Linked DNA regions of Rattus norvegicus. The protein of the gene in region 1 purifies or fractionates together with the protein of each later gene. This does not show direct contact. Links are inferred from orthologs where the notes say so. Each region holds a gene or a part of one and is shown in the gene's direction. Other genes may lie near its edges.

The links.
Region 2: the proteins of Wdr76 (region 1) and Camk2d purify together in Homo sapiens (affinity purification with mass spectrometry; 3 studies listed by BioGRID and IntAct, counting the BioPlex papers as one, with this or other methods). This does not show direct contact. The link is inferred for Rattus norvegicus from reciprocal best matches to the Homo sapiens genes WDR76 and CAMK2D.
Region 3: the proteins of Wdr76 (region 1) and Dnaja2 purify together in Homo sapiens (affinity purification with mass spectrometry; 3 studies listed by BioGRID and IntAct, with this or other methods). This does not show direct contact. The link is inferred for Rattus norvegicus from reciprocal best matches to the Homo sapiens genes WDR76 and DNAJA2.
Region 4: the proteins of Wdr76 (region 1) and Numa1 purify together in Homo sapiens (affinity purification with mass spectrometry; 3 studies listed by BioGRID and IntAct, with this or other methods). This does not show direct contact. The link is inferred for Rattus norvegicus from reciprocal best matches to the Homo sapiens genes WDR76 and NUMA1.
Region 5: the proteins of Wdr76 (region 1) and Hells purify together in Homo sapiens (affinity purification with mass spectrometry; 4 studies listed by BioGRID and IntAct, counting the BioPlex papers as one, with this or other methods). This does not show direct contact. The link is inferred for Rattus norvegicus from reciprocal best matches to the Homo sapiens genes WDR76 and HELLS.
Region 6: the proteins of Wdr76 (region 1) and Xpc purify together in Homo sapiens (affinity purification with mass spectrometry; 3 studies listed by BioGRID and IntAct, with this or other methods). This does not show direct contact. The link is inferred for Rattus norvegicus from reciprocal best matches to the Homo sapiens genes WDR76 and XPC.

What each region holds. Positions count from the first base shown.
Region 1 is NC_086021.1:128,909,182-128,913,312, forward strand, and holds the start of Wdr76 (WD repeat-containing protein 76), read left to right. Parts: upstream 1-1,331; 5' UTR 1,332-4,131. UniProt on the Homo sapiens protein: Specifically binds 5-hydroxymethylcytosine (5hmC), suggesting that it acts as a specific reader of 5hmC.
Region 2 is NC_086020.1:217,697,256-217,701,350, forward strand, and holds the start of Camk2d (calcium/calmodulin-dependent protein kinase type II subunit delta), read left to right. Parts: upstream 1-1,295; 5' UTR 1,296-1,517; coding exon 1,518-1,582; intron 1,583-3,162; coding exon 3,163-3,257; intron 3,258-4,095. UniProt on the Homo sapiens protein: Calcium/calmodulin-dependent protein kinase involved in the regulation of Ca(2+) homeostatis and excitation-contraction coupling (ECC) in heart by targeting ion channels, transporters and accessory proteins involved in Ca(2+) influx into the myocyte, Ca(2+) release from the sarcoplasmic reticulum (SR), SR Ca(2+) uptake and Na(+) and K(+) channel transport.
Region 3 is NC_086037.1:37,669,600-37,673,818, forward strand, and holds the start of Dnaja2 (dnaJ homolog subfamily A member 2), read left to right. Parts: upstream 1-1,419; 5' UTR 1,420-1,439; coding exon 1,440-1,517; intron 1,518-2,708; coding exon 2,709-2,768; intron 2,769-3,399; coding exon 3,400-3,623; intron 3,624-4,219. UniProt on the Homo sapiens protein: Co-chaperone of Hsc70. Stimulates ATP hydrolysis and the folding of unfolded proteins mediated by HSPA1A/B (in vitro).
Region 4 is NC_086019.1:165,769,252-165,772,751, forward strand, and holds part of Numa1 (nuclear mitotic apparatus protein 1), read left to right. Parts: coding exon 1-1,156; intron 1,157-1,779; coding exon of another isoform or gene 1,780-1,821; intron 1,822-3,500. UniProt on the Homo sapiens protein: Microtubule (MT)-binding protein that plays a role in the formation and maintenance of the spindle poles and the alignement and the segregation of chromosomes during mitotic cell division.
Region 5 is NC_086019.1:246,148,629-246,152,128, forward strand, and holds part of Hells (lymphoid-specific helicase), read left to right. Parts: intron 1-533; coding exon 534-650; intron 651-1,165; coding exon 1,166-1,325; intron 1,326-3,500. UniProt on the Homo sapiens protein: Plays an essential role in normal development and survival. Involved in regulation of the expansion or survival of lymphoid cells. Required for de novo or maintenance DNA methylation. May control silencing of the imprinted CDKN1C gene through DNA methylation.
Region 6 is NC_086022.1:125,554,085-125,557,584, reverse strand, and holds part of Xpc (DNA repair protein complementing XP-C cells), read left to right. Parts: intron 1-3,024; coding exon 3,025-3,159; intron 3,160-3,256; coding exon 3,257-3,426; intron 3,427-3,500. UniProt on the Homo sapiens protein: Involved in global genome nucleotide excision repair (GG-NER) by acting as damage sensing and DNA-binding factor component of the XPC complex. Has only a low DNA repair activity by itself which is stimulated by RAD23B and RAD23A.

The sequences.
Region 1 (4,131 bases):
TCAACCATCAAGCCTCAAAGATCCTCCCTCGTCTCTTCACCCCTCAAGGTTCTCTACGTACGGATGTTAGGGGTATGAACTCAGGCACAGTAAGGGGAGCTATCTTCCTAGCTTCTCCCTCTGAGATGCTATGGCAGCCTTTACAACATAACTTAACAACCTAACTTGACCGGTTTCTACCTTCTTTCCCTCTAGCTTTGTGCTGAATCAGATGATCTCTTCTAAAACACAAACAAATTGGCACTCAAGAGGTGGTTCAGCAGCTAAGAGGACCTGCTGCTCATGCAGAGGGCCTGGATGAATTTCCCAGCATCTACATGGCAGTCTATAACAGTCTGATACTCCAGTTCCAGAGGATTCCATGCTCTCTTCTGGCCCCTATGGGGATTGCATCCACACGGTGCACATCCATCCATGCAAGCAAAACATTCATACACTTAAAAATAAACAAAACAAACAATTCCAGTGAACAGAAAGATTATACAAACGATTCAAATTATTTCATAAACCGAGGAAACCCTTTTAATCAAACTGGGCGAAGCAAAGTTAGCTTTTGGCTATAACACACACCCCCCTCTAGTTCACTTTCTTCTTATATTTTCATTTTTGTTACTGTTCTGGTTGTGAGCTTGGCCTTTAACGGCTGAGTCATATCTGTAGCCCTATTTTTATTATTATTTGCAACGATTCTGTCTGTGGATATGTGCACAAATGTACGTACTGGCAGAGGCCAGATCTCCCAAAACTTGGGGTTACGGGTGGTTGTTGAGTCGCCTGATGTGGGTGTTGGCAATTGAATTTGGGTCCTCTGGTAGAGGAGTATGTCCTCTTAACCGCTGAGCCATCTCTCCAGCCTTCTTAACTTTTAATTCGAGAGAGGATCTCACGAAATCGATCAGATATGTGCAAGTGGATCCCGCTTCCCCCAATCTCTAACTATGCCACGTGCGAATTTAGGTGGAAGGCAGGAAGAAAAGTTAGGTTTAATGGTCAGCCAAGCTGGTATGGTCGGCCTAAGGCAGGTTTCTGAGATACTGAGGATGAATGAGGTAAGATCCGACCAGAGGGGAGCCACACTTACCTTTCTCATTGCGAACTGGGACGGCCCCAGCCGTAGACTGAATGGGCGGCTGCTTCATGAGTGCGCTTGGGACCGACATGGTGACGGCTGCCGCAGAGATTCTGTAAAACGGATTGAATCTCAACAACGAAGAGCAAGAAACAAAATACCGCTTCCCACCAAGCTTTGCCCTACACTACTGCGCGACTGACAGAAACAACTTCCGGCAGCGGTAGAGGAACCGGAAGTACGTAACAGGGGATTGTGGGAAATTGGAGGAACGCTAAGCGGGCCGCTTAAAGGGCCAGACTAAAATTTGCGCGTCTTCGTAGGCAACTTTCCCGCCTTCAAGCGTTCAAGATTTGGAAGATCCTTCTGGCTGACAGTTGCTTTTTTTGGGTTTTGGTAAGGTCCTGGAAGGTTCGGATTAAAGCTTTTATTTATTATGTTTTGAAGAAACCGAGCAGATTACGGAGGGTTGTTTGTGCATATTGTTGAAAACTCCGAAGTGTAGAGTTTGATCCGCATAAATTGGTCACACTTGTAATCCCAACATTTGGGAGGGTGAAACAGCATTGCCGCGTTTTGAAGGCCAACCCGGGCGACAGGATAAGACCCTGCCTCAAAAAAAAAAAAAAAAAAAAAAAGAGAAAATCCCGTAGGGACCACACACTCCTTTAATTCTAGCACTGGGAAGACTGAGGCAAGTGGATCTCTGAAATTGAAGCTAGTCGGTCTACACAGTGAAATATCCGGGAATAAAATATTATATAGGACTTTGAAGGCGCTAATAATATAATTATTAAATTATTTCCCTCGGGTCCTTGATGGGTGAAGACAGGAAATTGACAATCTTTAAGAAGTAAGAGTTTTCAATGAACGAAACAAGGACGACGCTTACCTGGGACATATCCTCTCTTTATCTTTGTATAAACACATCACTTTCAACCAGAAAACCTTAAAAGGCTAAAGTAGACAGAAATCTTCTTTTCCCGTTGTATTTTATATTGAAGCTGTGTTGTCTAGGCAGGTTGGCTTGTTTGCTTTTGCCTCTAAGTTGGTGGTTGTTCATTTATTTCCTGAGTAGTTAGGATTCTCCATAGGTGTGCCTCTTCACTGGACGTGAAACTTTATATTACGAACTCATCAGCCTAAAAAGTGATGTTGCTGAGCCGCAGGGGCAGTTCAGCTGTAGAGCGCTTGCCTGTTTTGAGGACGGCTTAGCTTGGAGTAGGGAATTCTGTGGAGAGTAAGTGTGTTGGGGAGAGAGCTGTTTTCATTTATGGCAACTCAAGATGGTGCTAGGAAAAGGCTTTTCTTAAAAAGTCCCGACTTTATGAAAGACAGCATGAGAAAATCTTATTTGGTAATGCCCGTATTCTGAGGTTTTTAGGGCCCCCCCCCCCCCCCCCCCCCGAGCTATAGAGTCATATGTATCCCAATCTAGCCTCTAACTCTCAAAGTAAGAGAAGAGAATCTGGAAGTTCTGATCCTCCTGTGTTCGATTGCTTAGAGCTGAGATTACAGGTGTGGGTCTCCATGCTTGGTTTTACGTGATGCTGGGGATAGAATCCAGGGTCTTCGTGCATTCTAGGTAGACATTCTACTGAGCTACATTCCCAATCTGTGGTTTAGCTTTTGAAGTCCTCTTCTGCCACTGCCCACAAAGGTCTGTTGTAGCCCAGACTGACTGAATTGCTCCTTGCTACCATCTCTGTTACACCAGGCCTTTATCATCACTGGCCATCTGCAGGTTTTCTCTACTTAAAAACAGGTGGACTGAGGGTCAGCACTTAGAAACCAAGTAACACGAAATGCTTACTTTTTTTTTTTTCTTTAACTGCCCTCTTTCGGTGACAGGGGTTCATATAATACAGGTTCCCCTTGAACTGCCTGTATAGCTGATGACGATGACTTTGGATTCCCGATCCACCTGCCTCCACCGCCCAAGTCTGGGGTGACAGGTGTGGACCATCATGCTTAATTGCTCCCCCTTATTACAACTTAAAAATATACAGTCGTGGTCAGGAGTGATTTTTTAGTAGTGATATTGCAAGAAAGTGGGCAGAAATAAAGGCCCACTTTGTGTTTGTGTGCACTCGGGGTGAGTGGGGTGGGTGTGACTCTGTTCTCATATGAAGATCAGAGGACAACAGTGAGAAATAGCCCTTATGTAGGCTCTGGGAGTAAAATAAAGATACTAGGCTGGGTGGCGAGCACCCTTACCTGCTGCATCATCTCCCTTGGTTTTGACAGAGTGTCTCCTGGACCTGGGACTTTGTGTTTAGGTTCGTTTGTTTAGCCACGGAGCCACAGAACTCCACTTGTCTTGCATCGCCTGTGCTGGGATTATAAGCCCAGCTTTTTAATTTGGATGCTGGGTCAAACACAGGTCAAATGCAAGCACCTTACCAACTGTGTCATTTCTTTCAAGCTCTGCCTATTGATTTTTCTGTTGTTTGTCTTCCAGTCCTTATGGGATTTATGAGGGTATGGCTCTCTTCCAGGGGTCATGCTGCAAAGCGGCGGTATTTTTTTTTTTTTAAAGCAAGATCTCGAGTGTAGTGAGCCATATTGGATTTGGGCCTGGCCGCTTTGTAACTGTATGGTCACAGTTAAGAAGTCAAGGGATTGTTGGACAGAGGCCTCTCCCATGTACTGGAAGAAAAGACCAAGTAGTAAACACCCGGTGTCTCCACTGCATGACCTCTGCTGAGCCCGGCTGATGCATGTGGAACTGACACACCTGGACCACACCTGGGTGGTGGTCAATTTACTTCTGCCTTTTGCTTCCTCAGCCTTTATCCTTGAGATTTAGGCTGGTCTTCTCGGATTTCTCCCTAATTAATTCAGGTCTCGTAGTCACGAGCCAGGGTTTCCCACTGTGCTTCCCAGTTATTTTCTACCTGGAGACTTGGGTATATAAGTGGTGAATAAAGCTACAGGAGTCTCTCACTCTTCTTTCCTCTCTCTCTCTCTCTCTCTCTCTCTCTCTCTCTCTCTCTCTCTCTCTCTCTCTCTCTCTCTCTCTCTCTCTCTCTCTCTCTTCCTCTTCCTCTCCTGGCTTGACA
Region 2 (4,095 bases), on another chromosome or scaffold:
TGCCTCGTTTATTAAAGACTGGGAACTGGAAAGAAGGCCCCGAAGTGATCTTAGCAGCCAGTTACAACTTACCTACCTTACATGCTAATTTTTTTCTCCATGCTCACTTTTAAGCAACTGTGTCACATATGTTTAATTGTAGGCCACGCTCTTGAACTCTTAAATGGTTTTTCAGATAGCCCTTGAGGGAGTACATTCCTGTGCCCCTACCTGACCAGCTCTTTGAGACTGCAAGCAAAGAACTTGTGACCTCCCTCTCCCTTTCCTTCTCCCTCTGCAAAGAGAAACAGGCTAGACACGCTCACGTGACGCTAATGACGTCAGCCCCATTCTGGGTCGCGTGACCCGCAGCCAACCTTCCTAACGCCCCACCCCCTTGCCACCAACAGTGGGACATCTCGCGAGAGCCCTTCTTACTATCAGAACTTGCTGAGGTTACAGGGGAGTTACTCTGGAGAGGAAGGAAGGTGTGGCAGCGTGGTGCACTTCTTGCTTTCATTATGTTAGGCTTTATGGCCAAGCAAATGCTTTTGGGGATCGCCCTAGTTGGGAAAACAACGGGAGAGGAGGGCGAAGAGGTGAAAGTAAAAACTGAATCGAAACGTGGTGCCCTGACCATCCTTGCTCCTAGCTAAGGGACGGCCAGGCGAAGCAGAGGTGGCCAGGGCTGGCAGCCCCCGGTAGTCACTGTGAGCCGGGAGACGTAGGGCTGGGGTCTGGGAGCAGTAAACACGAACCGCGCCCAGATGCAAGGGTTGCATCCCGCTCTCGGTTTCCCCGGCATCACGGCCATCACTGCCGGGGTAGAGACATCCCGGGTGTGGGAGCTGCGAGTTGTCCCTCATCTTTCCGTCCCTTCGTGGGTCACTGCGACATCTCTGTCCCGTCCCCTTAAGCGCGCTCCCCGGGGCTCTGCACATCTCCTCCCTCCGGTCTCCTTAGACGGCTGCGGGAGAGCAGCCCGGAGGGACGCGGCTGGAGTCGCTAGAGGGAGGTGTGGGGCTGGCGAGGAGGGGGCTTCGCTGGGCGGGGAGAGGCGGGAGGAGGCGCCGGGGAGGAGCCGCGGCTGCCAGATTCGCCTGAGCCGAGTGAGCGCACTCTGTCGCCCGCAGGTTCCCAGCCTTGCGGCCCCGTGGGGAGAGAGCGCAGGCCACCAGCGCCGCCTCCGCCCGCAGGAGCGACCCCTTGGGTGTTCACTCTTGGCCACTGCCGCCCGCCACCCCGGGCGCTACGTTGAGCTCTCCGTGCGGCCTCGGTGACCGCGGCAGCCCCTCCTGACACCTCCCCCCCGCCCCTTCGGGAGCGCTCGCCCGGCGGGAGGAGGAGGAAGAAGGATCGCGGCTCGGGCTGGTCTGGCCACCTCGCCCCGCGCGCCCCGCCCCTGCGCGCACTCCCTCGCCGGCGAGCTACTTTCGGACAAGGAAAGTGAGGGCGGCCCCGGGTGACAGCGCGGCGGTGCCAGTCCCGGGAAGCCGCGTCTGTTCGCGTGTCGCCCGTCGCACTGTCCAGACCCCGCCATGGCTTCGACCACCACCTGCACCCGGTTCACCGACGAGTATCAGCTCTTCGAGGAGCTCGGAAAGTAAGCGTCCCTGCCTGGCACCTCCTCCCCGCGACCCCTCGTCTCCCCCGTGGGGACAGGGAGCCCGCGGGCCGAGGCGGGGTGACGGACCATGGCTTGGTGCGGGTGGGGCACAGTGGGGAGAAACCTTTGCCCTAGTGTGGCGGGTGCCCCGAATCCCCAGCTCATCTCCTCGGGTCCTCCACCTCTCCACTGGAGACTTAGTGAATTTACGATCTCTGCAGTTGTAGCTGTCATCCTGAGAAGTGTGCGCGCACGCGAGTGTGAATGTGTGTGTGTGTTCGGGGAGGAAAGGAGATTGCATGTAAAATGCAACATTTATCACCTTTTCTGTAGATGTCTTTTGCTCAGCCCGCGGTGTATCTGCGGTCTGATACAGGTTAGGATGAGCTAATGAGCATTAGTTCTCAGAGATGGTGCCTTGTTTATCGATGCCGAAAGTTCAACTTGGTTTGGTGGAGAGTCTGGTTCGGCATCCAAAGTAGTTGTTCCGTCCAGGAAAAGGCCACCCAACAGAACCCACGTCCCTGCCCTGTATCCGCTATCCTTCTTTGCACTAAGGTGACTCGCTCACCATCATTCTAGGATTTACGTGTACCTCGGTTCTGAGAGGATTTATTTATCTAGGCAGAGAGAAAAGCCCTGGAGCCCGAGAGAGCGCTTCCCCAGGGTAGCCTAGCCTTTGAAAAAGGACCTCCTCCACCGAAGTGCCAGAAGTACTTTGAGATGTTAAAGAGGGACTGGGTACCTACTGAAGATCGTACAGGGACAACCAGAGACCCAGTCGGGAGTGTTGGTAACAAGCATCAAATCCCAAACCAGTCCTTCTATCGCTAATTTCCACTATCAGGGAAAGGATGCATTTGTGTGTGTGTGTGTGTGTGTGTGTGTGTGTGTGTGTGTGTGTGTGTGTTGTAGGTTTTTAGTACAGTTGCATACAAGGAAGTGTGAGCATTTTTTAAATCAAACGAAAATGATATCTTTATAGATGATCAGCTGTTGAAACATGCAGACATGTCGGGAGAGCAGCTTAATTCAAATCTCTCCCCTCCCCCAGCCCAAACCAGGCAGAGAGAAATCACCTTAGCCCAGGACCTGTTAAAGCACACCAGTGAGCTCGAGATTTATGTTTTAATGAAAACAATCGCCATATTTACTTCACTTGGAACCACGTTAATTGTGTTTTCTACCGAAATAAACATGCAGCAGTTTTTTTTTTCTTCTGTTCCCGGTCTCTGCTTTTTGCAGGGTTTGCCATGAGCATTTGGTGTTTTATGAGTGTGAATTATAAATTGTTTTCAAATTTCATGTGCAAACAAGAGTGGTTATAATTGGCATGTCCTTCTATTTTGTTGATTAATAATCTGTTTGTTTCCAGTCAATTAAAAATTACTTTTATTCCACAACATTAGAAAGGATCTGGTTCGGCAGGGAAGATTCGTTCATTTCCTAGATGATGCTTTTTTATTATATTGATACTTGACAGATCGCTAAAGACTCATCAAACTGCTCAGATTTGTGAGTTTGCAAGTGGATACTGGATCTGATTATACTGATGATTGCTAATTACTGCTTTCCAGGGGGGCATTCTCAGTGGTGAGAAGATGCATGAAAATCCCTACTGGACAAGAGTATGCTGCCAAAATTATCAACACCAAAAAGCTTTCTGCTAGGGGTGGGTATTTTAAACCGCACTTATTTATATATGTTAATTTCGTATTTGCTGTGTGAGTCGTTGGTGTCTTTCTTTAACTATAGCATGGAATTATAATTGAATTTTAGACTTAGGCATCATATTACATGCTCATCTTTGCCAAAGGCCTCGTGGTCTGTTTACTTTGTGAGTTAAGTGAAAGATATAATTGTTATCAATGAGTTATCGAAATGCAGTAATATAATAAATGTGTTGCAAAGCAAATAAATGTCATGAGGGGCCTTGCTGAGATCCTTTCAGAAGGATCTTAGGTTGAAAAAAAAAAAGGCAAGTCTCCTAACTGTCATAATTGCCTTTCACTTTTGAGACAAAAAAAAAAAAATGGGTCATGGTTCAGTTGAATGTATATCACAGGTGTAGTTACAGCTGAACGTAATACATCGAGGTATATTTAACTTCAGTGGCCTTGGGAAGTGGGGAGAGATGGTTGTTGTAATCTAGGAAGTTACCTTGGTTTTGCTATGTGTACGCTAGGCCTTTTCTTGGTCTCCTGAATTCAACTTCCCACCAGATCATGCACTCTATTGTAAACCTTCAGCTTACAGCCACACAGATACTTCATCCTGAAGGCTGTTGACATAAGTTACAACAACAACACGGAGCCCACATTATGTGCCCACATTATGATGACTGCGATTATGATTATTTTGTCTAGAATCAAACAAAATAACATATGCCGAGATTCTGGCATTGCACTGACTGAGGTGTCTACGGCATTTCCGAGGGAATTTATGGTTTGATGGAATTAAACTGGAATCAAAAGAAACAGAATACCATAGTGCAGACCCATCTCAGTGAC
Region 3 (4,219 bases), on another chromosome or scaffold:
TGAGCATCTGTTACCAGGGTTGTTTTGGCTGATCTGGGTGTGTAGGTGAAAGTTCCCTCTCCTCTTCATTGCTCCATGTATGTCTCTTCCTGAAACTGGATATTTGGTCAAAAAGGATGAGCTTCCCCAATAGAGAGAGGCTAATCTTTGGCCAAGGGTATAGAATAGCTGTGGTTCCCCTGCTAGGACCTTCTAATAAGTTCTTGATACCAGATACATAATCTGTATCCTATTAAAGAATTTTGACTCACATGTGAGAACAGCATTCATGTCATAAATCATACTTATCAGGAAAACGAGCATAGTGGGGCCTCAAATAAGACAGGAAGGTTTACTAGGTTATGAATCAAGGAGAACGTTACAGGTGAAGGGGCATTTTGAATGGTAGAAGGAGCATCTAACTTCTCTTAAGACTCCTCAGAGCTCTCAGGTTAAATTTCCTTAGCCCTTAACATGGCAGGGAAGGACCTCCACAACTTGGCCAGGAAGAATGACAAGAAAGGCATACCACCTCCATTGACAGACTTATGGTCAATGAGAAATTGTTTCCCAGTTCAGGTTTCAACTGACTAGAAGTGTTTTACTATCAGAAAACCAGTTAGAAGGCAAGCTGTGCATATTGGCACGTGGTAGAAGCACGGAAATCTTTTGAGCTAAAGCAAACGAAATCGACTGACAGCCACCAAGTGCCGGCCCGCAGCCATACTGCCTTATGCCAACCAAACCTTCGGCGTTAGCTAATTTTAAAGCTGTCAAGTGAGACACTTGAACACATGATCCCGGCGGAACAGGGTGACTTTGGTTTATCTGGATGCCCCCAAACCAACCGGGAATGTGTAAAAAGATTTTGTCCTCTCCTTCAATGTGACAGGATGGCTATGCCTTTAAAACCTCTTCTGCTAGGTGTAAATCTGAGTATTTATGAATGAAATTGTTTTCCCTACGCAGAGGTGCTGAGGGGGAAGTTAGGAGATGATATGAATTAGTGAAGGTGTTGATAAAATCACATTAGGGGTGTAATTCGCTATGTGGGAACCTCACACACTCACACCCACGTGCTGCTTTTCACCGCGGCCCCGGGGGTACCACCCTAGGAGGATTCCACGCCGGCTTCTTTCCCCTAGGCCTCAGCCGCAGCGAGAGTTCCTTACGAACGCCGTCATCCGCTTCCCTCCACTCCGCGGTCGCTCGCGCGTCGCCTACGGGCGTCAGGAAAGGACCCCACCTGCCGCACACCGTCGCCCACCGCCCAACCGCCCCGCCCCGTCCGGCCCCGGGGGAGGGGCCTTGTGGCAACGTCATGGCGCTGCGCCGGGTCAAAGTTCAGCCCCGCCCGCCTCCCCGCGCCGTCTCCTCGGCCTGCGCTGCCGCCGCTCGTGGTCCGGGTCGCGCTCCTTCCGCTCCGCCGCCTGCTTGCGAGTGCTGCCGGGCAGGCCGCCATGGCGAACGTGGCCGACACGAAGCTGTACGACATCCTGGGCGTCCCTCCCGGCGCCAGCGAGAACGAGCTGAAGAAGGTACTGGAGCGAGCCGGCCGGCGGGCGGGGCGAGGGCGCGGGGCCTGCGCGGTCGGGGCGGCCTGAACCGGGCTGAGGCGCGGTGGCGGCGGGGGCGCAGTCGGCTCTGGCTGACCTTGGGCCTCCGCCCGCCGGCCCTGCGCAGAAGCGGCCCGCCACCTCGGCGCCCCGGGCCACCCGGAAAAACAGGTCGAACCGCGGTGCTCGCGCCGCCGGGCCGGGGAGGAGCTGACCGCCGGCGCCGGTGTGGGGCTGAGGGCCGCAGCCTCCGGCGCTGAACAGGCTCCTCCCTCTGCCTTCCTCGCCGGGCAGCCGGAATAGCTTGGGTCTGTTTAGAAGCATTGTTCTTGGGCTGGAGCTCTAAATACCCCGTGGCCGCTTCAGGGATAAGTCGTCGTGTGTCCCAGCCAAACACCTGCGTGTGCACTCACTAAAAATAAGACAGGTCTCATTGTTGTCCTTTGTACAAAATCATCTCGGGACTTAAGCTATTAGTAAAGTCCGCATCTACTATGGCTGTCGGCATCAAATCTGTAAACTGAGAAAAATAAGAATGTCCCGTAAGTATTGGGACTGGTGAAGTCCAAAGAAAAAGACTTCCTGTTGCCCTACCGGAAATGGTAGGCTGTGTTATATAATTCATGAGTCTGTGTAAAGACTTACATGGTGCTTACCTACATCACTTAATTGAGAGTATGTAGCTTCACCACCAGGTAGGACCCCAGTTAGCCGGCCAAGTGCTAATAAAACATCACTTAGGACCGCCTGCTGTTTTCCTGTTGGAGGGCAGGCCGAGGAGCCAGCCAGCATGGGGAGAGATACTTAGTAGAAGTATCATTTGCTTAATTTGTAGGAGTGCTAGGGTTTCTGTAAAATGTAGCGCTCAATCTACAATCTGTTTATTGTGGTCTTTTTGGTCTGGTTACTGGTCATCAAAGATATTTGATAATATTTTTAAAAAAAAAAACAAGAAATAATGTTTCAGTCTCTTTTTCTTTGTTTTGTTTTGTTTGTATTTTTCCTCAGTAACTTGGGTTACATTATTAGCAAGGAAGCAGTACTGAAGTGGAAAACGTCAAATAGTGAGTGACAGTTTTGGAAGGCCATAACTTTAGAACATTGCTTCTCAGAAAAGTGAATTTCTTAAATTGTTCGCTGTGTATAACTCTCTTCCAAAATCTTTTTTTGAAGGCATACCGAAAGTTAGCCAAAGAATACCATCCTGATAAGAATCCAAATGCTGGAGATAAAGTAAGTTATTTGGAGTTTTATTGTTGGGGTTTTAGTTTTTTTTTTTTTTTTCCGGAGCTGGGGACCGAACCCAGGGCCTTGCGCTTCCTAGGTAAGCGCTCTACCACTGAGCTAAATCCCCAGCCCCGGGGTTTTAGTTTTAAACTGAAGTTGGAAATGTGTCCCTTAAAGAAATAAGGAGTGATGTAGGGAAAAGTTCATTTATGCCTACAGAGTGAAACTCTCAGTGTTATTTTAACTTACTTGAAAATGACCAGAGTAAAGCCTAATGCTTGTAATCTTCTTCAGAAATAAAAATTATATCTACTGAGATAGCTCAATTGTTACAAGTCTTTGCCACATGTAAGCCTGACCACCTGAGCTTGATCCACAGTGGAAGGAGAGAAAGTTGTCTTTTGATCTCCATACTCCCACACTCATGCATATACAATAATGATAATTACCTTCAGAGGACAATTTTAGTTTTACAATGAGAATTCTAAGATTTTTAGCAATAGGTAATAAAGAGGACCAAAAGGAAACCAACTCAGAGCTTTTTATTGGAGTTAGGTGGCTTCTCGTTTTTTGAAGTCTTTCTCACATTCTTGCACTTAAAAATCCAATTGTTTTCATTTTTTCTTTTACTTTATAGTTTAAAGAAATAAGTTTTGCCTATGAAGTATTGTCAAATCCAGAGAAGCGGGAGCTATATGACAGATATGGAGAACAAGGTCTACGGGAAGGCAGCGGCGGGGGTGGCGGCATGGATGATATTTTCTCACATATTTTTGGTGGAGGATTGTTTGGCTTCATGGGCAATCAAAGTAGAAGTCGAAATGGCAGAAGAAGAGGCGAGGACATGATGCATCCGCTGAAGTGAGTCTCTTAAAAATGCTTCCCCAGGTGGGGATGCTTACTACAGAGTATTTTGTTCTTTATTCTAACATTTGTGTTTTAAAATGTGTTCCTATTAAGTAACAAAGTGAATTACTTAATTGTATATATTTTGCTTCAGACCTTAAAGGGTGGAAGGGTGCTCTAGAAATGTAGGTCAGTTGGTAAAGTGCTTACCTCAGAGACACAAAGTTCTTCATTTAAGCAGGTTGGGTGGTCTTTACCTATAATTACAGCACTGGAGAGGCAGGGGCAAGAGGATCAGACTTGAAGGTCATATATTCTCAGCTGAGTAACTAGTTTGAGGCCAACCTGGGATACATAGACGCCTGTCTCAAAAACAAAACAACCAAGATCTTAAAGAATAGGTTTTTTTTTTAACTGATTTTTTTTTTCCTGTATGCTGTTGAGGTTGCCTGTTTATATGATTGAACATTTCAAGTGTGAATATTTTAAGGCAAAAGAATGGTTGGTTTCGATTATTTACAAGGAAAGGTCCCTCATTACTTGATCCTCAATGCTACCTCTCCTAAATTGGTTTCCATGGAGTTTACTGGCTTCCAGCCTGGCATAACTAA
Region 4 (3,500 bases), on another chromosome or scaffold:
GTCCGAGCGTGCTTGCCGGGCTGAGCAAGACAAAGCCCTGGAGACACTGCAGGGCCAGTTAGAGGAGAAGGCTCGAGAGCTGGGGCATAATCAGGCTGCCTCAGCCTCAGCTCAAAGAGAGTTGCAAGCCCTCCGTGCCAAAGCCCAGGACCACAGCAAAGCTGAGGAAGAGTGGAAGGCCCAGGTAGCCCGTGGCCAGCAGGAAGCTGAGAGAAAGAGCAGTCTTATCAGCAGCTTGGAAGAGGAGGTATCCATCCTGAATCGCCAAGTCCTAGAGAAGGAGGGAGAAAGCAAGGAGTTGAAGCGCCTGGTTGTAGCTGAGTCAGAGAAGAGCCAGAAGCTGGAAGAGCGGCTGCGCCTGCTTCAGGTAGAAACAGCCAGCAGCAGTGCCAGGGCAGCAGAACGCAGCTCAGCTCTACGGGAGGAGGTACAGAGCCTCCGAGAAGAGGTAGAGAAGCAGCGTGTAGTTTCTGAGAACTTGAGGCAGGAGCTGGCCTCACAAGCGGAGCGAGCTGAGGAATCGGGTCAAGAATTGAAGGCCTGGCAGGAGAAGTTTTTCCAGAAGGAGCAAGCGCTCTCTGCCCTGCAGCTGGAGCACACCAGCACACAGGCCCTGGTGAGTGAGCTGCTGCCTGCCAAGCACCTTTGTCAGCAGCTGCAAGCTGAGCAGGCAGCTGCCGAGAAGCGCTTCCGGGAGGAGATAGAGCAGAGCAAGCAGGCAGCTGGCGGGCTGCAGGCAGAGCTAATGCGGGCTCAACGGGAGCTTGGAGAGCTAGGATCTTTGCGGCAGAAGATTGTTGAGCAGGAGCGAGCAGCCCAGCAGCTGCGGGCAGAAAAGGCCAGCTATGCAGAGCAGTTGAGCATGCTGAAGAAGGCCCATGGCCTGCTGGCCGAGGAGAACCGGGGGCTGGGAGAACGGGCCAACCTGGGCCGGCAGTTTCTAGAAGTAGAGCTCGATCAAGCCCGGGAGAAGTATGTCCAGGAGCTGGCCGCTGTGCGCACTGATGCCGAGACCCACCTGGCTGAAATGCGGCAAGAAGCTCAGAGCACTAGCCGGGAGCTGGAGGTGATGACCGCCAAGTACGAAAGTGCCAAGGTGAAGGTCCTAGAGGAGAGGCAGAGGTTCCAAGAAGAGAGGCAGAAACTCACTGCCCAGGTAAGGTGTCCATGCTGTGTCCTCTGCATTCTGTAGCCCTCCCCTTGCCTCCACCCCAGATGGACACTGCCTACCTGCCTTCACTCATTGAGTAGCAGAGAAAGATAAGTAAGCAGTAGAATCCCGTTTGTCGGAAAGAGAATGCTATGACAGCGAGTGGTGGTGCATGCCTGTAGTCCCAGCACGTAGGAGGCTAAGTCAGGAGGAGGATCATGAGTTTGAGGCCGCTTATGGGTTGCATAGTTAGATCCTGTTTGAACTTCCACAGTCACCCCCCCACCCTCCAACAGACGATGTCTATGGCCCCCTTTTCTTTGAGAGCTGAATCTAAAGAGTCAGGTTGACTACCCTTTTGTTTCTTTGGTGTTTTAAAACAGGATCTAATGTAACTCAGGCTAACCTTGAACTCACCATATAAGTAAAGATGGCCTTGCACTCTTGATCTTCCTGCCTTCACCTCCCACGTGTTGGGATCACAGGCCCCTGTGTCCTGTTACCTGATTCCAGCTGGCCTGCCCCCATGTCCCCCCTCTCCCTTCTATGGGGGAAGTCTCAGAGCCCGAGTGAGGTCAGTCTGGCAGTGGCTGCATCTCACTGTCTCCATTGCTTCTCCCCCTGCACAGGTGGAGCAACTAGAGGTATTTCACAGAGAGCAGACTAAGCAGGTAATGCCTGGGGTTCTGGATAAATGCTGGCTGCTTAAGCGGTGACCAGTCTCGGTGCATGACCCCGGCTGCAGCTTGCTCCGCCGGCTCCTCTTGTGAACTGTTTGTGAAAGGCAGGCCCAGGCTGCCCAGGAGTACAGTGTTAATCGGCCCTCTCTGGGGCCTCGTCCCATCCATCCCAGGTCGGCCTCTCCCCTCTGCCCTTCCTTTCACCTATCAGAAACAAGGGGTGGTATCGCTTCATCTTTCCTACACTATCCTGGCGACAAATTCAGTCCTTGTGGCACAAACCTCCAGTCCTGTTTTGAGTTAAGGAGACTTATCCAAGAGGAAGAGCAGGTTTATGTGGCTTTGTTTAGGTTATTTCCATTCTTCCCTCCGAGTTATCCAGGGTATGAAGATGACAAATGAGGCAGCCCTTGGAGGATAGGGAACCTGACCTGCTCAGAATGCTCAGCCAGTACACTCTGGAGCCTTACCCCAGAACCTCGCTCCCAGAGCTTTCTGGAACAGAAGTAGAAAGGGTCTTCCCCAGACGGCCCCTGTGGTCTCTCTGCCTTCATTCCTCTCAGGCCTCTCCGTCCTCCTACTTAATAGGTTAGAGAAATTTAGTGAGAACACTTTCTTTACCTCCCTCCCTCCCTCCCTCCCTCCCTCCCTCCCTCCCTCCCTCCCTCCCTCCCTCCCTCTCCCCTCTCTCTCAGATTTATTTATTATGTAAACAGTGATCTGCCTGCATATATACCTGCAGGCCAGAAGAGGACACTAGATCTCATTACAGAGGGTTGTGAGCCACAATGTGGTTAAACGCAGGGTCTCTGGAAGAGCAGTCAGTGCCCTTAAGCTCTGAGCCGTCTCTCCAGCCCCAGAACACCCTCTCCTTTCTAGCCACTATAGACATTCTAAAAAAAAAAAGTGGGATAATCAAATTGGAAAGCAAGCAGTTAGCAATGGAGCCTTTTGCCTCTTCCTTTGCTGCCTGTTCATGCCTAAGCTCCCATAATGCCTGGAGGAAACATGGCTGCTTTTGGCTGTTAGGATCCCTATGCTCTTTGGTAGTTGAGGGAGGGGCTTGGGAGTATGTGCTGCCCTGCTCTTGTCTTCAGCATTCTTTTCTCCCAGTGCTAACTGCAGTGGCCATGCTGCTAGCATCTCTAACCCCTTGGAGAGTGGAAAGAGGTCTGGGGGCTTTGCTTTGGTTATTTTCGGGGAGGAGGGAGCAATGAATGTACTTTGACAATGTCTGTTAGCACCAGAGTGGGAGTCTTGTTTCTATTTTGTTTTTAATTCTTTGCGTATGAGTGTTTGCCTATATAGGTATATACACATTCTATGCATGCCTGCTGCCTGCAGGGACCAGAAGGGGATGTTAGGTCCCCTGGAACTGGAGTGATAGTTCATTTTGAGCTGGCATGTGGGAGCTGGGAACCAAACCTGGGTCTTCTACAAGAACTTGTAGAACTTTTTTTTTTTTTTTTTTTTCCGGAGCTGGGGAAACTTGAACTTATAACCACTTACTCATCTCTCCAACCCCATAGCTGTTCTGTCCTTGCCTCAACTTTTCCAGGTTGGGTGTGGGAGCAGAGAACACAGTCAGATGTGTAGAGATGCCCACTCTGAAGGGTCAGGCATTTAATTTGGTGGCAGAGACTTCAGCTGGAATGAGTTTGGTCAGGTGA
Region 5 (3,500 bases), on another chromosome or scaffold:
TATGTGCATACCCCAAGGTAAAGAAGACATTCAATATCATCTTTCTTTGTTCTCCATCATGTCTTAGAGACAGCGTGTCTTACTGAACCTAGAACTCATTAATTAGGCTGGCTGGCTGGCTAGTGATCTCCAGGGATTAGCCTGTCTCTGCCATTTCAGTCTCTTCCACCAGCTCTGCATTAGTGAGCAGGGCGCCACTTAGTCTCTTCATGGGTGCCAGGGATCTGAACTGAGAGTCTTTTGCTTATATGGCAGGTACTTTACTGACTGAGCCATCTATTAAACTAGTTTTGTCTGTTTTTTGATACTGGATGCGATATGTACCTTTAACAAAATAAAAATATCTTGCATAATGTAAATGTTTGAAAAGCAGTGTTTATGTAAACAGAGTGTTTATTAGCTAATATAATTGTTTCCTAGCTCTGTTGGAAAAGACTTTTAATAGTGATATTTAAAAATAATGCCTCCCCACCCATGTTTAAATTTCTTTTTTTTTTTATATTTTTTTGTTTTTATGTTTCTTTTGCATTTAGATATACAGTTTCAACACGGATCCAGAGGTTTTTCTTTTCTTAGTGAGTACACGAGCTGGTGGCTTAGGCATTAATTTGACTGCAGCAGATACAGTGATCATTTATGACAGTGATTGGGTAAGAAGTACGGCAATATGCTGACTATATTTCTGTTCTGAAAATGTTATTGTTTACTTTGTACCTACTGAAATTTCATTCATCTATTTTGAAAAGTGCCTCTTTGCAGGAAGGAATTCATCAAGTTTTCTATGGATAAAAACTTAGGACATTTTTAGAGTATTTAAACCACTTTAAGTTACTGTGTGTGTGTCTGTCTGTCTGTCTCATGTAGAGGTCAGAGGACAGTCTGGGGGAGTTGGTTCTCTTTACCATGTGGGTTCTGGGGATTAAATTCAAGTGGTCAGGCTTTCTGGCAGATATCTTTACCCTCTGAACCATCTCAGTGGCCCCCATGGGAGCATTTAAGTAGAAAACTTTACAATTGTTACGTGAGAGTTGGAATTTATACAACAATTCTGGAAGTTTAAATGAATCTAAGAACCATTTCTCACCAGATAGTGTACATGATTATTTTTTAACATTTTTTTAGGTTTAACAATTCTGCTAACTGTACATTTCTTTTCAACTTTAAGAATCCTCAGTCTGATCTCCAGGCCCAAGATAGATGTCATAGAATTGGTCAGACAAAGCCAGTTGTTGTCTATCGCCTCGTGACAGCAAATACTATTGACCAGAAAATTGTGGAAAGAGCAGCTGCTAAAAGAAAGTTGGAGAAGCTGATAATCCATAAAAGTAAGTGATTTTTAATTTGCTTAAAATAGTGTATTTATTTTATTATATTTTATGTATATAAAATGTTATGTATATATTATATTTTATGTATAGTTGCCTGCATGTATGTCTTTCATGTACAAGCCTAGTGATCAGGGAGGCCAGAAGAGGATTTTGGGTTAGTAAATTCGTCCTTCCACTTGTCCTTCCACTCGAAGGCTTCTCTGTCTACTGGAGGTGAAATCTTCAAGTTCTCTCTTCTCATTGTTGGGAATTTTGGCTAAGGTCACCCCATTGAGTCCTGAAGGTCTCTCACCTCCTGGGTCTCTAGTACTGTCCAGAGGGTCTTCCCTCTACCTCCCACCCCCAAGGCTGCATATTTCTATTCTCCTGGCCCTCTGGGCTTCTTTCTTGTCCCCATCCCCCCATACCTGATCCTGTTCCTCTTCTCCCCCTCCTCTCTACCACCCAGGTTGGTTCTTCCCTCCCTCCCTCCCTCCCTTCCTCCCTCTGTCTGTTGGTCCTTCCCTCCCTCCCTCCTTCCTTCCCTCCCTCTAGTTCCCATGATTATTTTCTTTCCTCTTCTAAGTCGGATTGAAACATCCTCATTTGGTTATTTCTGCTTGTTATACTTACTATTGTCTGCGGGATTTTATTCCTAGGTATTCTGTACTTTTTGTCTGTTATCATTATCATACCACTTATCATTGAGTATATACCATGTGTGTCCTTTTGGGTCTGTGTTACCTCTCAGGATGATATTTCCTAGTTCCATCCATTTGTCTGCAAAATTCATAATGTCCTTGTTTTTGATAGCTGAATAGTATTCCAATGTGTAAATGAACCACATTTTTTTGTATCTATTCTTCGCTTGAGGGACATCTTTGTGTCCCATAAGTTTGTGTATGTTGTATGTTCATTTTCATTAATTCTATAAAGTCTTTGATTTCTTTATTTCTTCCCTGACCAAGTTATCATTGAGCAGAGAGTTGTTCAGTTTACATGAGTGTGTGGCCTTTCTCTTGCTTTCTTGTTACTAAAGTTCAGCCTTAGTCCGTGGTGATATGATAGGATGCATGGGATTATTTCAATCTTATATCCATTGAGTCTTGTTTTGTGTCTGATTATACTGTTAGTTTTGGAGAAGGTTCCATGAGGTGCTGAGAAGAAGCTATATTCTTTTGTTTTAGGATGAAATGTTCTATAGATAATCAGTTAAATCCATTTGATTCATAACTTTTCTTAGTTTCACTGTGTCTGTTTAGTGTTTAGTTTCTTTTTCCACATTCTGTCCATTGGTGAGGGTGGGATGTTGAAGTCTCTCACTATTTATTGTGAAAGGTTCAATGTGTTTTGAACTTTAGTATGTTTCTTTTATGAGATGTTAGTGCCCTTGGGCATAGATGTTCATAATTGAGACTCTCTCTTGGTTGATTTTTCCTTTGATGAGTATGTAGTGTCCTTCCCCTTCTTTTTTAATAACTTTTGGTCGAAAGTCTATCATTGGATATCAGAATGGCTACTCCCACTTGTTTCTTGGGACCGTTTGCTTCAAAAACTTTTTTCCAGCCTTTTACTCTGTTTGTCATTGAGGTGTGTTTTTTGATGCAGTAAAATGCTGAATCCTGCTTGCATTTCCAGTCTGTTTAGTTTATGTCTTTTTACTGGGGAATGAAGTCTGTTGATACCTGAGAAATTAAAGACAGATGATTGTTAGTTTCTTGTTGTTTGTGGTAGATATGTCTGATTCTCTCCTTTGGGATTTGTCGTGAGATGATTTCTTGTTTTTTTCTTTGGTGTAGGTACCTTCCTTGTGTTGGAGTTTTTCTAGAATCCTCTGTACGTCTGGATGGATAGATAGATATTGCTTAAGTTTGGCTTTATTTTGGAATATTTTGGTCTCACCTGTGTCCCTGGTTACTTTGGCCCTCCTGGGAGGCAGACAGTCTGTATGGTGTCTCTCTGCAGTCCACTAATCTGACCAGGGTGGAGAAGAATACCCAAAGAGTAAAATGTCTTACTGATTTTCATAATCCTCTTCTGCCTGCAGATACTTCTTTATGGTGTCTGACTCATTTTTATTTTTAATTTTATAGTCATCGTGGATTTTACATGTGCCTTTACATGGGTTCTAGGCACTGAATTCAGATCTTTTAGCCTTTCATTGGCCCTCGTATCTGGTTTTGAGGGAAAAGT
Region 6 (3,500 bases), on another chromosome or scaffold:
TGCATGCCCAGATAGAAGAAATAACCTGTTCTTTGCCTCCAGCAGGGTTTGAGGAGCTAAGCATTTAAATTTTTTATTAATAAGGCATGTATAGGAAATAAGTTTTCCAAATAAGAACTATAGGCCTGAAAGTAGCCTGAAGACTCATGCTATAAGCTCAAAGGCCAGCAGGTTAGAGCTGGGTTGCTGGGTTATTCTGAGGTTCAAGCCCTGCTTCATAAGAAACCTACTAGCCTGGTTGCCCTGCACACCAGTTCACCAAGCATTAGCTGCTGTGTTTCGGTGACCCTGGGAATCACTACCATAATGTCAGCCTTACAGATGAGAAGATTAGAGTTTGAACAGGATATGTCTTGCCAGGAGGCTTTGCAGTTAGTAACATCCTAGGCTCAGTAGGACTCACAGGCCCTCATCTCAGCTCTTGCCTCTGACTTTGACATCTTTAGGTTAGCTGCCTGTGAGAGCCATGAACTCAGCAAGATGTTCCAGACGTTTCTCTGGGCATTGGCTCAGTCACACAGGCAGAGCACAGTGGCCCTTACATACACGTACTGCTCTGTTGTCAGATGGAGGCGGAGCCCAGTGGGGCTGTAACTGGAGCTGTGGTGGGCCCTTAGCTAGTGGGAAGGGGTGGCAGGTCTCAGTAGTAGTGGCTGCCAGCAGTGGCTTAAGTGTATGGAGCTGCCTGCTGGGATCTGCCTAGACCTGCTCAATCTCAGACCAGTGTTGTCCAGGGATTATAGTTGAGTCGCACATTTAACATTTTTAGTATCCATTTCGTGAATTAGTAAAATTATTAATAAATACATAATTTATTATACAAAATTATTTTTAAACTTATTAAAGTTATAATAAAATTCTTAATAAATCAATAAACTAAATTTTATGTAGCTCCTATTTGTAATTCTGTGTTTGACTTTCAGTATCTCAGTTCAGACTAGATCCATGATTGCTCATGTAACACTCACTTCCTGAACGACTCCAGATTTCTCCTTTGTTCTGACCTCCAGCCTCCTGCCTCCTGCCTCAGTGTCTCTTCCTTGAGTAACAGTCACAGCCTCCTTCCTAGATCAAATGCATTCTCTGTATTAGTTCTGTGGCTCTTTCTGGAACACACTGGCCTCTGTGGTGATCTGGCTCTAGCCACCTATTACTTCAGGTAGTGGCCTCACGTGATCATGGTTAATGCTGTAGTACCTGCCTCCTCCTTTCTAGACCACCCCAGATGCAGCTGTTCTCCCTGTCCTGGCCCTAGATGCCCTTCTCTGCAGCTGTGTTCTGGTCAGCATTTCCCTGTCCCACTGATGTCTTGGCTTCTTTGTGGCCTGCTCCCATTCTTCCCTGCATTCCTTACCTCTCCCTACAGCCTGAGCTCTGTCCACAGGCACTGCCTCTTCCCCATGATTACTGTCCTGGCATGGAAGAGGTGCTCAGTGACTTCATTGAACACATGGATGGACTGTGGCCTAGTGTGCTTTCTGGTGCTGTGGTAGCCACCGTTACCAAAAGCAAGTCGGAGCAGGAAAGGGCTTTGGCCTACACTTCCAGGTCATAGTCCATCATCAAGGGAATTCAAGGCAGTAACTAAGGAGGAAGTATGCTCGCTGGCTTGCCGGGCTCGCTTACAACCCTGCCTGGGTGCGGGGCCCCAACAGTAGACTGGGCCCTCTCACATCAGTCTTTTTCAGATGGCCGCAGGCAAGGTTATCTGATCAAGGTAATTCTAAAGTTGAGGCTCTCTCTTCTTAGGCGACTCTAGGTTGTGTCAAGTTACAATAAAAACCTAACCAGAGCAAACAGCTTTAGGAGACTGTCAGACACGGAAGCCAGCTGAATCCACAGGCTAGCTGAGAGGTTATGCTAGAAGATTAGCCATCAGCTTGGGCCATACCAAGCCTGAGTCCCTTCGGTGGGTTCCTCATCTAAATAGTGATTTTCCAAACGCTTTTAAAAGGAAAAGAGTGAAAAGGGTGGGAGAGGCCACATGTAGTAAGCTCTTTACCAGCAGCTTTTGTTGACCTGACCCCTGCACCAGAGCAGCCTGTGTGCCCAGGTCCAGGCGCCATTCCTTAGCAGTTTCTTGTGCTGCCCGTCTGTGTTATGCAACCTCTGTTTGCCACTCCTCTCCTTCCACCCCTTAGCTTCCCAGGAAAACATGTAGGTCTTAACTGCTGTGCACTGCTTTCCACGGGTGACACTGGTGGATAGTGATTGATCACTCTACAGAGAGATGGGGGTTACCAGGATTAAAGCCTGGCTCTTCTCACCTATAAACCATGGTGCCTTAAGTAAGTCATGCCATCTCTGTCTCATGGTAATGGGTGTAGGAACTTAGGACAGAACTTAAAAGCCTTCGTGAGGGGTTGGGGATTTAGCTCAGTGGTAGAGTGCTTGCTTAGCAAGCTCAAGGCCCTGGGTTCGGTCCCCAGCTCCGAAAAAAAAGAAAAAGGAAAAAAAGGGGTTGGGGATTTGGCTCAATGGTAGAGCGCTTGCCTAGCAAGCACAAGGCCCTGGGTTCGGTCCCCAGCTCTGAAAAAAAGAAAAAGGAAAAAAAGGGGTTGGGGATTTGGCTCAGTGGTAGAGCGCTTGCCTAGCAAGCACAAGACCCTGGGTTCCGTCCCCAGCTCCGAAAAAAAAAAAAGAAAAAAAGAAAAAGAAAAAAAAAAAACCTTCGTGAGCTGTGACTTTGGGCACAGAATATCACGTGGGCTGCTCCTCTTGGGCTCATTGAGATTAGTGGTTATCTAAAGCATGGAGATGGAGGTCAGGCACGATGGCACACCGTGATCTCAGACTCAGGCTGAGGCAGGAGGATCAGGAGTTAGAGATCAGCCTGGGCTACAGAGCAAAATTCTGTTTCACCTCCCTCACTAAAAGAGAGTGAGAACCATATAATACCTACCCTGTGTGAGCTGGCTAGGGAAGGCCCACCTGTGTCAGATTGACAGCACTCAGTGCCTGGTGCAAGCTGAGTCCTGGAGCAAGAAGCATTTCTTATAACCCGCCCTGTTTCCTCTGGAGTAGATGGTGAAAGGTTTCTCTAACCGTGCCCGGAAAGCCCGGCTTTCGGAGCCCCAGCTGCATGACCACAATGACTTGGGCCTCTTTGGTCACTGGCAGACAGAAGAGTATCAACCTCCTGTGGCTGTAGACGGGAAGGTAAGGGCAGCTCTGGGGGTGGGGTGGGGTGGGGATCAGTATAGGCTGCCCAGTCTACCTGCCAGCTACTCTCTGGCACGCCCGTCTGTCTCTGCAGGTGCCCCGGAATGAGTTTGGGAACGTGTACCTCTTCCTGCCCAGCATGATGCCTATCGGCTGTGTCCAGATGAACCTACCCAACCTGCACCGCGTGGCCCGCAAGCTGGGCATCGACTGCGTGCAGGCCATCACTGGCTTCGATTTCCATGGAGGCTATTGCCACCCAGTGTGCGTGAGGGGCCTTTGGTGGCAGTTGGGGTGGCTGAGGTCCACATTTGACCATGGGTTTTAAAGTCAGTCTT